Linked DNA regions of Mytilus edulis. The protein of the gene in region 1 purifies or fractionates together with the protein of each later gene. This does not show direct contact. Links are inferred from orthologs where the notes say so. Each region holds a gene or a part of one and is shown in the gene's direction. Other genes may lie near its edges.

What was found. The genes of interacting proteins can lie anywhere in the genome.
Region 2: the proteins of U3 small nucleolar RNA-associated protein 4 homolog (region 1) and WD repeat-containing protein 43-like purify together in Homo sapiens (co-immunoprecipitation; 5 studies listed by BioGRID and IntAct, counting the BioPlex papers as one, with this or other methods). This does not show direct contact. The link is inferred for Mytilus edulis from reciprocal best matches to the Homo sapiens genes UTP4 and WDR43.

Annotation. Positions count from the first base shown.
Region 1 is NC_092348.1:88,492,313-88,499,895, reverse strand, and holds the start of U3 small nucleolar RNA-associated protein 4 homolog, read left to right. Parts: upstream 1-4,519; 5' UTR 4,520-4,649; intron 4,650-6,667; 5' UTR 6,668-6,678; coding exon 6,679-6,782; intron 6,783-7,392; coding exon 7,393-7,447; intron 7,448-7,583. UniProt on the Homo sapiens protein: Ribosome biogenesis factor. Involved in nucleolar processing of pre-18S ribosomal RNA. Part of the small subunit (SSU) processome, first precursor of the small eukaryotic ribosomal subunit.
Region 2 is NC_092346.1:5,602,246-5,609,402, reverse strand, and holds the start of WD repeat-containing protein 43-like, read left to right. Parts: upstream 1-4,092; 5' UTR 4,093-4,105; coding exon 4,106-4,315; intron 4,316-4,953; coding exon 4,954-5,097; intron 5,098-6,005; coding exon 6,006-6,127; intron 6,128-6,488; coding exon 6,489-6,606; intron 6,607-7,157. Other genes in the region: equilibrative nucleoside transporter 3-like, read right to left, coding at 478-559, 3,824-3,873. UniProt on the Homo sapiens protein: Ribosome biogenesis factor that coordinates hyperactive transcription and ribogenesis. Part of the small subunit (SSU) processome, first precursor of the small eukaryotic ribosomal subunit.

The DNA of each region.
Region 1 (7,583 bases):
CAATATCATGTGTGAAACGGTTATTCCTTAAATAATGCCAAGGCTCCATGTTGAAGGCCATACCTTGACCTATAATGGTTTACTTTTGATAAATTGTTACTTGGATGGAGAGTTGTCTCATTGGCACTCGTACCACATCTTCCTATATCTATTTATTTTTTTATAGGAGTGCAGAAGCAAAAACCGATTTTACTGTTCTCGGTCAGACCACACAGGAGTTAGATCCAACGCATTCTGGACCTCTATGGCAAACAAGAGACCACCAATACGAAGAAATAAAGGCAATAGTTGTAAAATAGTTTCATAGTTTTCTCCTTTTTTTATGGTGTTGTTGGTTTTTCCACTTCTTCTTCTTCTTCTTCTTCTTTATATACAGAAAAACATCAACTGGTTGATGATTACTTTCCGGCGCATGCCTGGTTTAACAATATTGTTAATGATTTTTTTATAGATGCCCGTGCTGCCTTGGTATCTTTTCATATATTTATGATGGTGGTTTTTTTTTTATCTGAGACTGTTTGATTAATGCTTGCTTAAGTTAATGACTTATGTCCAATGGCAATTATTTCATGAAAATTCATGATTATAGAAGAAATTGCCTATAAATTCAATAATTAGTGTATTTATTGAATTACCTTATAACCAGTGTACGTATATATTAATGTTCATAACATGATTTAAGTAGTTGATAACGCTGTTGGAGATGTTTAATTCAATTTGAACCATTTGTCAACAAGTTCTCTTTCCCGCAATATTTAATTCAACATAACTGGTTTCCGATTTTAAACTGTTGATATCCGTAGGTAAAATTACAATGAAACCAGATTGTACAGAACAGTAAAGTGTACATTCGATATGATAAAGTGTTGATTCAATTTTTGTGAAATTATTTACCGCTATCGTATGATTTAAATTTTTTAACAACTTGTTTAAGATAACTTGTAGATGATGTGTTTATATCTTGCATATACTGTTTAAATATGATATGTATTACAATTGTAAAGGTAAAAAGAAAAATTACAAAAATACCGAATTCCGAGGACAAAATCATAATATGGTCATCACGGTAACGTTGGTAGTATTTTATATTTAGTTTTCAACAAAGGTAAGAAGATGTGACTGTAACTACCTGAAGCATAAGCTGCCAAATCCATGTTTCCTGATATATCTCAAAATCTCACATTTAATTTATAATAAACAAAACGTCAACCAAAATTAACGATTAACAATACATGGGCCTCTATGATATGTATCAGCATTTTGTGTGTATCTAAGTGTTGACCACCATTTAATTAACGTGCCATCGATATTACCTCCAACGACTGCCGACGGTCATACAACCGATAATAAACTTATGTATAGATATAAATACAGGGGCGGATGCAGGAATTTTCGAAAGGGGGGGTGCTAACCCAGGGCAAAAGGGGGGGTGCAGTGGGGGTGCAAAACATATGTCCCGATACAAATGCATTGATCGGCAAAAATAAAGGGGGGGTGCGCACCCCCGGAACCCCCCCCCCCCCCCCCCCTGGATCCGCCACTGAAATAGATATCAAAAGCACGTGCATCTGATTATTTTTTCTATGTGACTTTTTTAATTTGTCTGTTTGGTTAGATATTGCAGATTTTAAACATGCGTATACAAAAATGATGCCGGTAGTATAATGCATACTGTTTGTTGATCGAATCAGTCAACGAAATAGTTAACCCTTGTTTCCCTTTCAATGATGACCGGTATTCTTTTCCTTTTTACAGCTAAGCATGCCTATTACATATAGAGATCATAGTCTTAAGCTAAGGGATTAGATTGAAGGTCACGTGAATACGGATTCCACAGGCTGCCGATTATTGACTTACCATACCTTCCAATTTTTCAAATGCCCATTGGGGGTTTTGTGTGCAAGTTGGCTCTACAAAATCGTCAAGGCGGCCTTCTAATGTATTTTAAAACTGTTATTTTTCGGCTTCTTCATACTTTGAAAACCCTACAGCTATGGTGAAATTTATTGTTTTGTTTAAAATTGTTGACAAAATTGCTCCGCATTCAAATTTAAATTTGGAAGCTTTCATGGGGGAAATATCCCCGGCGCAAATAGTGACAGTTGGCAGGCATGACTTACAAGTGAATAATACATCACTGATGTTTAGAGCTTATTTTAACATATTTGGGTCAAACTTACTGCTTATTACGAACTATTACTTTAAAATTTCCCTTTCATAAATAATTTTGTTGATGTTCTGGTGCCGTATATGCGACATGCCCCTATAGTTATTAGTGATGCGGTATAATATTCTAGTGTTGTTATTGCCAACTTCATCTCGCCATCCTATCGCCTAGCTGTTTCAAATGACTGACGTACGTAGGAGGGGGTTTGAGGTGTCCACTCTCAAACGCGGTAGTCGTTCATTTCAGATAAGGCTGATCATCTTTGCACAATATCTAATTGTTACATGAATGTTGTTAAAAAGTGAATCCAAAACTGTGCCTGCGTACTCAAGCAGTGGATTCTAGCATCACTGATGAGTCTTTTGTAGACGAAACGCGCATTAGGCAGAAACACAAAATTCAATCCTGGTATCTAGATGGTGAGTCTATTTACGAACACTGCCTTTAAGCCACTTGTTGGGTCGATGCCACTGCTGGTGGAGTTTTTATTCTCCGAGGGTATCAACAGCCCAGTAGTCAGCACTTCTATGTTGACATGAATTATCATTAATATGGTCATAATTGTAAATTAACAGTTTACAAACCTTTGATTTTTTTAAATACTAAGACTTTTCTACCTCAGGAATAGATTACTTTGGCTCAGTGTAATTGGCAAAAATTTAAGGACTTTTTAGTCCTCAATGCTATTCAACTTCGTACTTTTCTGGCCTTTTAAACTTTTTTGGATTCAAGCGTCACTGGTGAGTCTTTTGTAGACGAAACGCGCGTCTGGGGCAAATACAAAATTGTGTTCCTTGTTTCCGATATGATGAGTTTATTTATTAACTAACGTTGATATGGTTGAATTCCGTAAAAGCAAATTCCAAGCGTTCCCATGACAGATGACATGTGATAAACGAGCTTAGGCCATATTCCAAAATGTACTCGCATAAATTATAATGGGCTGACTCGGCTTAATACCGATAGATCTGGGAACAGTATATCAAACATAGTATGTTCCTGCCAGTGGATAGATGTAACAATTCATAAAACCTTAAAATGACACACACACACACACACACACACACAAGGAATATAAATTAATCAACCAGGGCCTGTATCAAAAAGAAACATACCCCACTATCAACAGCAAATAATCTATATATATATATCCGTCAGGTAGTTATTCAGTGATGTTAAAAATGAAAAACAGTGAAGCCTTTACCGAAGATGTTGTTTAATCATGAGTTTACTGAAAAACAGCATTAAACAACAATCATTGAAAATGCATAACTGGGTAAAACATGCATTTATAACAAATGTCCAATACTTTGAATACACATTAAGTTGAACAAAATTACATACAAAAACCGGAAAACCCCCTGAAAAGTGTTAATCATACGTTAATATTTCTGGACAACCCCGGCTTCTTTATTTTATTCTTTTTTTTTTGTAAAATACCTTGGACTATTATACTAACAAATGTAGGACAGAAAGTCACTGGACAAAATGTAACAGACAAAAAGTCACGGACAAATAGTCACAGAACAAAAAGTCACAACTCATTTTTTTCTCCGCATTATTTTCTTTAAAAAAGAAAAAAAGAAAATAATGCTTGTATTTTCACAAAAACATTTTTGTATTTTTCTTAAACTATTGCATATAAACCAACTTTGTAAACAAAATTTATATATTTTTTTAAATTATCAAAGATGATCACTGTTAATAGAAAAAAAAATGTACTAAGAAATATATCCTTTGCATGATTAAAATTAAATAAATCTTATTTTTTCAATCATAATGACACATTTCCTAAACTTTAATATGAATATTTGTATTAAAAAGTAAATATTTCAAGATATTTTTCCAATATATCCAATCAATTGTCAACAAATTATTTGTGACGTTTTGTCCTGTGACTTTTTGTCCTATCAAATTTGTGACTTTATGTCCTGTGACTTTTAGTCCTGTGACTTTCTGTCCGTTTACCTACCAGCACAGGCACTCGTCTCAGAAAAAATTCCTACATATCTTTTATTTTCAATAAACCATCATTTTGACAAGGTATAGAGAAATTACATATAGAAATTTATACTTTTATATAACACAAAGTTATATAGGGGGAAAAAATCATGAGAAAAGTGCATTTGTATATCAGGTGCCGATTTGACCAGATGCCAATTTAACCAAGTGCCGATTTGACTAGATGTCATTATCAAACGCAATATGCTTTATTTGAAAATAAATGAGAAAGTAGTCTAAACCTGGGGTTAATGCATTGATTTTATAGTCCCATAATAAGAAAATCCTTCACAATTGTTTTCCAAATTTTGGTAACGCGGAATATAAACGTTGTCCTTATCCGAGATCCAGTCCTGCATTTAGAATAGATCAACATGGCTGCGCCCATTTGAAAACATGCGATAATTGTTTACAATCTTTAGCACTGTCCACACCTGATTTATTTTATCATATTTGATGGTCAAGGTTTCCCTTTCCATAGGTAAAGTTTGTAAATAACAAGTGCCGAAGTGGTGTTGTTTGACAGACCATAGCAAAAAATATGTCTGTTTACTAGGCCTAGTGCTAGGGACAATGTTTTTAATATAGTTTTACTTTTTATCTAAACATGTAAAAATGTGATTTTTTACATGCACATACATTATCAGTTAAAAAGTAGTACCAAAGTCATTATATTTAGGCATCTTCGTCAGTTTGTAAATCATTTGTGAATATGTAAATATTTTTTTATTCAGACACCAAAATTTATTTTAGTATTGATTGTACCTTGAACTAATATGAGGCAGGCATTACCTGTAAATGGGGACGATTAAATGTAAATATTTGTTGAAAAAAAAAGAAACGGAAATACCGAAACGTTTCCGATTTTGGTTCTGTTGTTAGGGATTTTAGTTGTGACGTTATTTAAATTATGACGTCATATGCAATGTAAACAAAGAAACGCTATCATCAGGTAACGTTTTTTCATATCAAGGAATTATTAAAAATGAAATTGGTATTGCGCGTTCCTTCCTATTTTATACTAGACTGATAAATATATATTTTACTCAAAGTTTCATACAAACGAGACCGGAAAAAGAAAGTACATTGTACATTTCTGCGCATGTCCGGGATTTCAAAACATGACATAAAAAAAATTGAACGATTTTGAGTTCATTAGTACAATGAAAAATTCGGGAAATTATCCCAAATTTTTTTTTTTATTGAATTTTCTACTGTTATTGGGGACTTCGTCCCCATAATATACTAACAGTAACAGGACTGGAAACTGATCGATCTGTTAAGATTTCAATGCCCCGATAGCACGATTATTGATTTTTTGAAATGATTGACAGCTTATTGTGTCATGTAGTGAATCAGCATTCGGTACATGTACATGTAAATAATAGATTTCGTCAAACAAATCAGCCGATAGAAGACTGTTAAAATTGGTGGATTTGAAATAAAGAACAATTATTAAATCAATAAGATTAAATGCAAAAAATTGATATTGTTTACGAAAAATTACTATGAGGCAGGCATAAAATTTAACTGTGAACATGGTGAATGGGGACGAAGTCTGTATGAATTAAATTTTTATTCAAACATTCATGTATTTCAACTTCAAAAGATTTTAGTTGTGACGTTATTTAAGTTATGACGTCATCTTCAATGTAAACAAAGAAACGCTATCATCAGGTAATGTTTTTTCTTATCAACAGAGCTCTTGATAAGCTACGTATATGCATGATCACGCAATAAAAATAATTGAAAACCCAATGCAATTGCCCATTGCAGAGTTCTAAAACCCAATTCATGCAAAGAAAAATTAACCCAATAATTTGTCAAAACCATGAGTTCTTAACGCTTTTAGTCGATATCATGTGGGTTATTTACCCTTATCTTTTACATAGTCGTTGTGTAAATCTATTTTTGTAATATTAAAAATCGGAAATGTCCTTTCGTTCTAAAAATAGATTGTTGAAAGGGTCCCTGTTGAAATGTTCCGTTGCTTAAAGGTACGGTACACGTGGTGAGGAAAACATTTCGATCTTCTCTGCCTTTATCCAATTAGCGTTAGCCATGTCGTCATTATTCTTTTCGTACTTCTAGGGACTTAGCATAACACTTAGCAATGAATTAAAACGAAAGTAAATTTCCGGTAAAAATATTGAATAGAAGCATGTTTTAGTTTCCTTTTGAGAGGATTATGATGATAACAAGACTCAGCTAGTGTTGTCATGAAGCGTCCCATGAACGCACAGGGTCGTGCAATGGCCCGTCCAGGCATGTTTGCGTGCCTTAACAATAACAGGGATAGATCTCGTCAAAAACTAAATCAGTTGGCGCTTGAAAGTCCAAATCACTTATATGAAGTCAGCATCCGAATCCGAAACTTCTAATAAGTAAATCCAGATTTATGTAAATAAAATAAAATAAAATAAAATCATTCAAGGTACCGATATTTAACTGATATATTTAAGCGAATGTGTAAGTAATGTATAAACTTTTTTTTTGTAGATCTATAAGAAATGGGTGAATTTAGAGTACATCACATAAGATTTTTTAATTACCAACCGCTTGCCATACATTGTATAGATTATAATAAAGAATTAAACCGAGTGGCTGTGTCAAGGTAAGTTAATGTAAACCTTTATATTTTTATTCTGATTCTAAAAATAAACTGAATTGCATGTAATTAAACAATAAAAATTTTAAGCTCTAGCCAATAGGGGATGGGAACATAAAGTTGTATTTCAGTACATACATATACCTATATATGTATGTTCGGAAAATTGGTTTCTTTTTGCTTACTTCAGTAAGCCTCAATCAAATCATATAAAATTTGGTAATATTGTTAGAGGCCACTCAACATGCTTAACACAGACCTACTTAGAATTTGACTGATTTCAAGTTTGTCTAGAAATTATTTCATGTATTTAATGTGTGTAACAATGTGAAAAATGCAACAAGATTAATATTGCAATAAGCAAAACTTAATAGTTGTAGATTGTAATATTCTTGTTGAAGGAAAATGAGAAGAACAATTTTAAATGAAACATTCACAGTAGTTATATATCATGTGTGCTGATGCAATACTAAATATCACTATCAAGAAAAGACAAAGTATCTTAATTAATTACATAAAAAGGGGTATTGAATGTGTTTTACAGCATTAAGTTTTAGCATAGCACGTACATACATCAAATTACTATTTTCCCTTCTTTGGTTTTGTTTTTGTTTAGATCTGATGCATCAATAGAGATCTGGAGCATTGGAGATGATTGGTATCAGGAGAAGGTAAACAACAACAAAAACAACAACAATACTTTATTTTAAGAGGGTTACACAGTTAGCTATATAACTAATCTTCCCTGAGGCCCTCATCATGAGAAATCAAACAAAATGCAAACATATACATTGCATACATTAGTAT
Region 2 (7,157 bases), on another chromosome or scaffold:
GTTGACCTCCAGTTGTGATTTGTTTTGTTTTGCTAGGTTGCTGTCTCATTGACATATACCCCTTCCAGCTTCTCTTTGTATATTTTATGTACAAATTATGATTTGTATTTTTGTACAAAATTTGACTATATCATAGATTGGTAAATCAGACTATACGCAGAGGCGGATTTAGAGGGGGGCCAGGGGGATTATATAGGGATTCACTGAAGCATGACCGGAATGGGCCCCCTCTTAGGCAGTCAGTGGGCTCCCACTTATGAAAATTTCTGAATCACCCACTGATATGTATCGTCTTCAGTCAACCTTATTTATTTAAAACCACTTTTAATGGAAATGATGACATATAAAAATAATTTCAATTTATTTTAAAGCAACAAAATTGTCCATGTGTTAATCTGTCTCCCTGATCTGTTATCATAGTTTTTCACCAAGATTCACTTTAGATATAATTTACAGAAACTAAGAGAGATAACTTACATCTTTGGCTGTTATGAAAAAATTCCATGGCAACAATGAACCGATTCCCAAAACATAAAATATAATGTAAACAATATTCAACCTGCAAGTAGAAACATAAGTTTGTTAAAATTCAAAAATATAGTTGTTTTAAATATAAGATACATGTAAATAAACTCAATGTACTCCAGGTAGCTAGGTATTCATTTAGATAAAATATTATATATATTCACAATATTGTTTCTCTACTCAGTAGTTTTGATCTATAGATGATATGGGTTCTCACTAAGTATTTTTGAAGGAGAGTCCTGGGACTCTTAATTTTTGGCCATGGTTAGTCCAACAGTAAGATAAGATATTCTATTGCAATATAATTTATTATTTTATACTCCATGACCTAATAGAGCAACGAAATGACATATGCATTAAATTCAGATTACTTTTAAACTTTTGCTATAAAATGATGATACATGTGTTTAGTTTATACAAAATTTTACAATATTGATTCATTTCTGGGCTTAATAATTTAGTCTAAGATGCATGATTTTTTTATTAGTTGTTAGTGGCTTTGAACTAGCTAGCTGTCAGTAACTGCAAGTACTCTCAGATCTGTACTTAGTGTCTTTTTGTTGTTGGGATGTACAAGTAAATGGCGATGTCCACTTGTATTTGTAGTATTTGTATTTTTATCCATCTCATGAGTTAAGCCTTTTTCTACTGATTTTTCAAGTTTATTCTTATGTTTTAGTGTTACACCACTGTCTCAGGTTAGAGGAGGGCTGGCCATGGGATCCCACTAAAATGTTTAACCCCGACACATTCTGCTTGTCTGTGCCTGTCCCAAGTCAGGGGCCTGTAATTCAGAGGTTGCTGTTTGTTTGTGTGTTACATATTTGTATATTGTTCATTTTTTGTACATAAATTAGGCCGTTAGTTTTCTCGTTTGAATTTTTTACATTTTCATATCAGGGCCTTTTATAGCTGACTATGCAGTATGGGCTGTGCTCATGGTTGAAGGCCATGCGATGCCTAAAGTTGTTAATTTCTGTGTCATTTGGTCTCTTGTGGTCTGGAGAGTTGTCTTATTGGCAATCATACCACATCTTCTTTTTTTATAATCACCAGTTTTGAAAATGGTGAGTCCAGACAGATTTTCATGAATCCGGACTCATGGACTCGCCTTAGTGAGAAACCAGTTACATCAACTTCATTCAAACTTTAGCCAATAGTTGTATTTTTGACAATAATAACACATCTCCTTATTTTTATAATGTTACATATAGGTAAAATGCATATATATACTATAATACATGATATAGATGATGATTGACTCACAAGGTACTCAGTAAGGATTTTCCAGGGACTCATAATTTTTAACCAGAGCAAGTCAAAAGTTTTGTAAAGAAAAAATATCATGAATATCTATGCCATTAGCTAGTTATTAGGTGTGTGAACATGTATAAAAGAAAACGCAAATCAAATTCAGGAATATAATTTTTACTTTTAGGACATACAATGTATATCTGAAAATTGTAGACTTATCTATAAAAGCAGAAATACTACTGCATATACAGAAAAGTTTTCGGGTAATTTTCTATCAGTTCTAAGGTTCATATATATTGCGTATTTGGAAGTTCTTGGGGAAATAGTTGTACCCTTTAAACATCTATGGCTATTTATTGACCTGATATGCTCATTTGAATTGTGATACACTTGCGATTTCTGGGCCTTTAATAGCCGACTTTGCGGTATGGGCTTTGCTCATTGTTGAAGGCCACACAGTGACCTATAGCTGTTAATTCTGTGCCATTTGGTCTTTGTGGAGAGTTGTCTCATTGGCAATCATAACCACACCTTTTTTTATATATACTATTTGGAAATCTGTGCAATCTCATACTACATACACATGTGACTGAGGGGGATAGGACCTTAATCGGGTCTCAGGTGTTTTTAAGCTGGAGATTTCAGGATGGATCATTTTGGGATACTGTAATTCTTTTTTCGAATTTCGGGATTTAAATTTCTTTAAATTCAGGACCTCAGGATTTTAAGCCAGGGATTTCGGGATCAGGAAATCTGTTCTGGTTGACCCTAGAATTTGCGTCTCTTGAAATTTGATGTCACACAACTATCAGTTTTCCATTGTGGCATCAAAATTATACTGAAAACCTTTGTTATGTCAAGTAACGGCACATACTATAAGTTATCTACGTTCATATCCGTAGATATGGATATTTTAACACCCTGAAGTACCCCAGTACATCATGAGGCGAAGCCGAAGGGTGTACAGGGTACTGAAGGGTGTTAAAATATCCATATCTACGGATATGAACGTAGATAACTTATAGTATGTGCCGTTACTTGACATAACAAAGGTTTTCAGTATAATTTTGATGCCACAATGGAAAACTGATAGTTGTGTGACATCAAATTTCAAGAGACGCAAATTCTAGGGTCAACCAGAACAGATTTCCTGATCCCGAAATCCCTGGCTTAAAATCCTGAGGTCCTGAATTTAAAGAAATTTAAATCCCGAAATTTTGACTGCCACATTTCCTAGGAAAGACCGGGGATAAATTCGTTATCTACGTTCATTAGATATGAACGTAGATAACGAATTTATCCCCGGTCTTAGTCCGAATCGGGCGAGTTTTATGGAAATTCGGGTACAAAGTGTAACGTGAAAACAACGTTTTTTTCATTATCTAAAAAAGTTTTATTGAAATTTGGAAATTTTACATATTTTTTACGGGGTGTAGGGTACTACCTTTGGTAGAACCCTACAGGTAGTGAAATATAAGACGTTTTTAATACGGAGACCGAGAAACTGGATTGAGTCAAATTTGGCGCTCAATGTTGTGAGAGTTACGTCATAGATGGTGTGACGTCAACGTGGGTCATTTGCATAGACGTCCCATTCCTAGGAAATGTGGCAGTCAAGTGATGCATTTAATGAAATTAGTGTACATGATCGGAATAATATAGGACAAACCCGTTAATGAATTAAATATTTAATTACAAACATCATGGATACTCTACAGAATTCAATATTTCACAAGGAGCAATCATGGAACTAAGGGAAACTTGCGCGGAGTTCCCCGGGATAATGGTTAGCAACGTCCGGGGATATGGGTTAGCAACACCCAGGGGCTATGGGTTTTGTAACGACGTGCGTTAACCAATCAAAATCCTAGATATATACTAAGCCGGGGATAAATGTACATAGCCATAAGGTGTATATAATGCACCCCGCACCCCTTTTTCAGAAAAAGGAACACCATGAATTGATATAAAACACATTTCCAATAAGCAATAACTGCATTAAAAACACTTTTCATTTTGTTCAATCGAATTGCACTTGTGATACCTATCTTTTGGTTCAGCATTTCGATCAGGTGGTGGTACTTGAGATTCCATATTTACAAGTGCTTGTCTAGAACTGCAGTTCAAAAAACTTTTGTCATAGCAAATAAGGGTGCGGCATGTGAGTTAGACCCGATGATTGCATTCTAATTTAAGTTAAAACTTTGATAAAAACTTGATCGTTTACTGAACTAATGTCACGTAAACTTTTTTATATTTTGTAAACAACAAGTCAGCTGAAAGTGAAACAAGCAGGAAACGGAAATAACCTTTAGAAAATTGACGCATGCGTATATTAGAACACGTGTTGAAAATGGCACTTTCCACACCAGTATCTTTTTCTTCAAATGGAGAATATTGCATGTATTCAAGTCCTGACGGCGTTCTTAAAGTATATGATACATCGACCTCAAAAATCAGTCAACAGTATACTCCAAGTTCACACCTGACAGCAACGTGTACTTGTTTATCATGGGGTCCTAAGAGACCCAGTGCTGTAAGTCAGAGATAAATTCAAAATCAGCAGTATTTATTTTTTAAACAGATATACTCAAGTTAGAAGTTGAACCAATTTTCTTACATAAGAATGATTGACCTAAGGTTATCATTATATTAACTATTCATGAAGCAATTGAAAAAAGATATTGGATTTTTATTGGCAACCTGGAAATATTGAAAATATGTTTTGTAGGAATCTAATTAAACCATGACCATATGCACCATCATATAACTATCCATCAGTGGGATGTGTCATGATTCCTGTCATCAGATTTAGACTGAATTAGTGATTCAAAAAATTGCTGCCATTTGTCCCTTGTGCCAGTTGTGGCTTGTGCTACTGCAAGGGGAATATGGTCAACATGTGCCACAATACTCTGCGATCACTGTCATTGACATAAAGTTTGCATACTATTTGTCATCTTATTCTCTTCACGATATCTAATGTCAACATTTTTATTTGGCCATTTGTTGGAGTTGAGGGACTTTGACCTTCTTTTTAATTATTTATGACACCTTTTGTTTCAAGGATGAGTTTTCCCCAAATATAAATTGATCTGACATGATATTTACTTCAAAATGAAAGTAAAAATGTAAATTGCTTGTCAACATGATTTTATCTTTTTATATTTTAAGAAAACACCAAAGAAAAAGAAAAAAAGGAAATCATTATCAGAAGATTCAGCTGAACAAGAGAAAAATGATATTGTTGCAATAGGAACCAGTTCTGGAAATATTTTATTGTACAGTATTGTAAAAGCAGATATACAGAGTCAGTTGGTAGGTACTAATATGTAATTGTAGCATTTAGCATCAACAAAATTATATCCTTAACCATTCAATGACGGTAGTACATGTAGTATTTCACTTAATGTACATGATGTATGACTTAAAGTTGACAGGTTGGGACAACCCATAAAATTGGGAAGTTTACAAAATAAATTTGAAAAACTATCCATCTAATGAGGAATTCTATTCTAGCAGTGTTTAAAATTTTATTTTTAAATCCACATTTTATTCCATGAAAAATGTAGCATTTTTATGCCCCACCTACGATAGTAGAGGGGCATTGTGTTTTCTGGTCTGTGTGTCCGTTTGTTCGTCCGTCTGTCCCGCTTCAGGTTAAAGTTTTTGGTCAAGGTAGTTTTTGATGAAGTTGAAGTCCAATCAATTTGAAACTTAGTATACATGTGCCCTATGATATGATCTTTCTAATTTTAATGCCAAATTAGAGTTTTTACCCCAATTTTACGGTTCAATTAACATAGAAAATGATAGTGCAAATTTCAGGTTAAAGTTTTTGGTCAAGGTAGTTTTTGATAAAGTAGAAGTCCAATCAACTTGAAACTTAGTATACATGTTTCCATTGATAAGATCATTCTAATTTTAATGCCAAATTAGAGAATTTACTCCAATTTCACGGCCCACTAAACATAGAAAATGATAGTGCAAGTGGGGCATCCGTGTACTGTGGACACATTCTTGTTTTTATTGTTTTTTTTAGGTTAAAGCAAAATTAGTAGTTGATTACTTTGAAAACTGTAAACCAAATAATTTTTATGGCTGAGGAAAAAAAGGGAATATTTTCCCTTGTATATTAAAAAAGACTAGTAAGAAAATCCTCAAAAATGATGTGGAGTAGAAGGTGCCCAATTTATATTCATACCTATTTGGAAATTTCTTTTCAGGATAAAGGTCACAGTGAATCAGTAAATGACCTGTGTTGGGATGAAAATCAAGGTTATTTGTACAGTTGTAGCAACGACCACAATGTCATCCAATGGGATGTTTCTACAGCTAGTGTTAGACAGTAGGTAGCTTTAGGGATGTCATAACAGTCCAGTATAATGCAGACGTTTATCCTCTTTAGCCCAGCTAATTTTATGAAATTGCATTATTTGAAGAAGAAATTTCCAGTCTTGTTCAAATCTTCTCACGAAATGAATAACAGATTCTAAAAACAGGTTCTGAAATCAAATTAAGAATGAGTTATGAAACTGGAAAATGATTTACCTGAGTGTATGGATCTATAAGGAGAATTTTTGTAAGTCTCAATTGATGAAAAACATATATGAATAATTATGTCTTAATTGTAATATTTAGTAAGACAACAAGATATAATTTTACATGGTTTATCATATCATTTTTAAACACTTTATACTTTTTTTCAGCAAATGGAAAGCTGATAAAGGAAGTGTGCATTCAATGTGTCTTTGTTCCTCCAATCATTTGTTAACTGCTGGTAGATCAATAAAACTGTGGAATGTAGAAACTAAAGAATTGTTAAAGGTAATATTGGTCCCAAAAGGAAACATTTTAAAACAATTTAATATTTTTATTTTAAATCACCTATTGTAACACCAAACATTTAAACGAAAAAGACAGAATTGTTTCCACACACTTTTCTTTTTAGCATATATTAGATTTAAAAATCACTTTCTATTTAAATTAAGACACATAAGTTCGATTAGTTTGCGCTGAAAAGCTACTAGCGACCAACATACAAAAAATTGAGATTTAAATGAGTTTAATGTTGAATTTGCATGGTTTTGATGGTTTAGAGAGAAAAAAAACATTCAATATAACCACTGTGCATAATAAGGAGTAGTGTTACACTGTTACTAAATGTATTCCAAATCCTATTTACTTCAGATCAAATGAACCTCTAAATAATGACGACTTCAGTATGTATACTAAAGAAATTTATCCTGTAGAACTTACTTTAAATAAAGCTAATGATAACAATGACCACTGCCCTTTCCTCGATCTTGATATCTATATCATAAACGGGAAGCTTAATACAAAAATTTATGATAAAAGAGATGATTTTTCATTTCCTA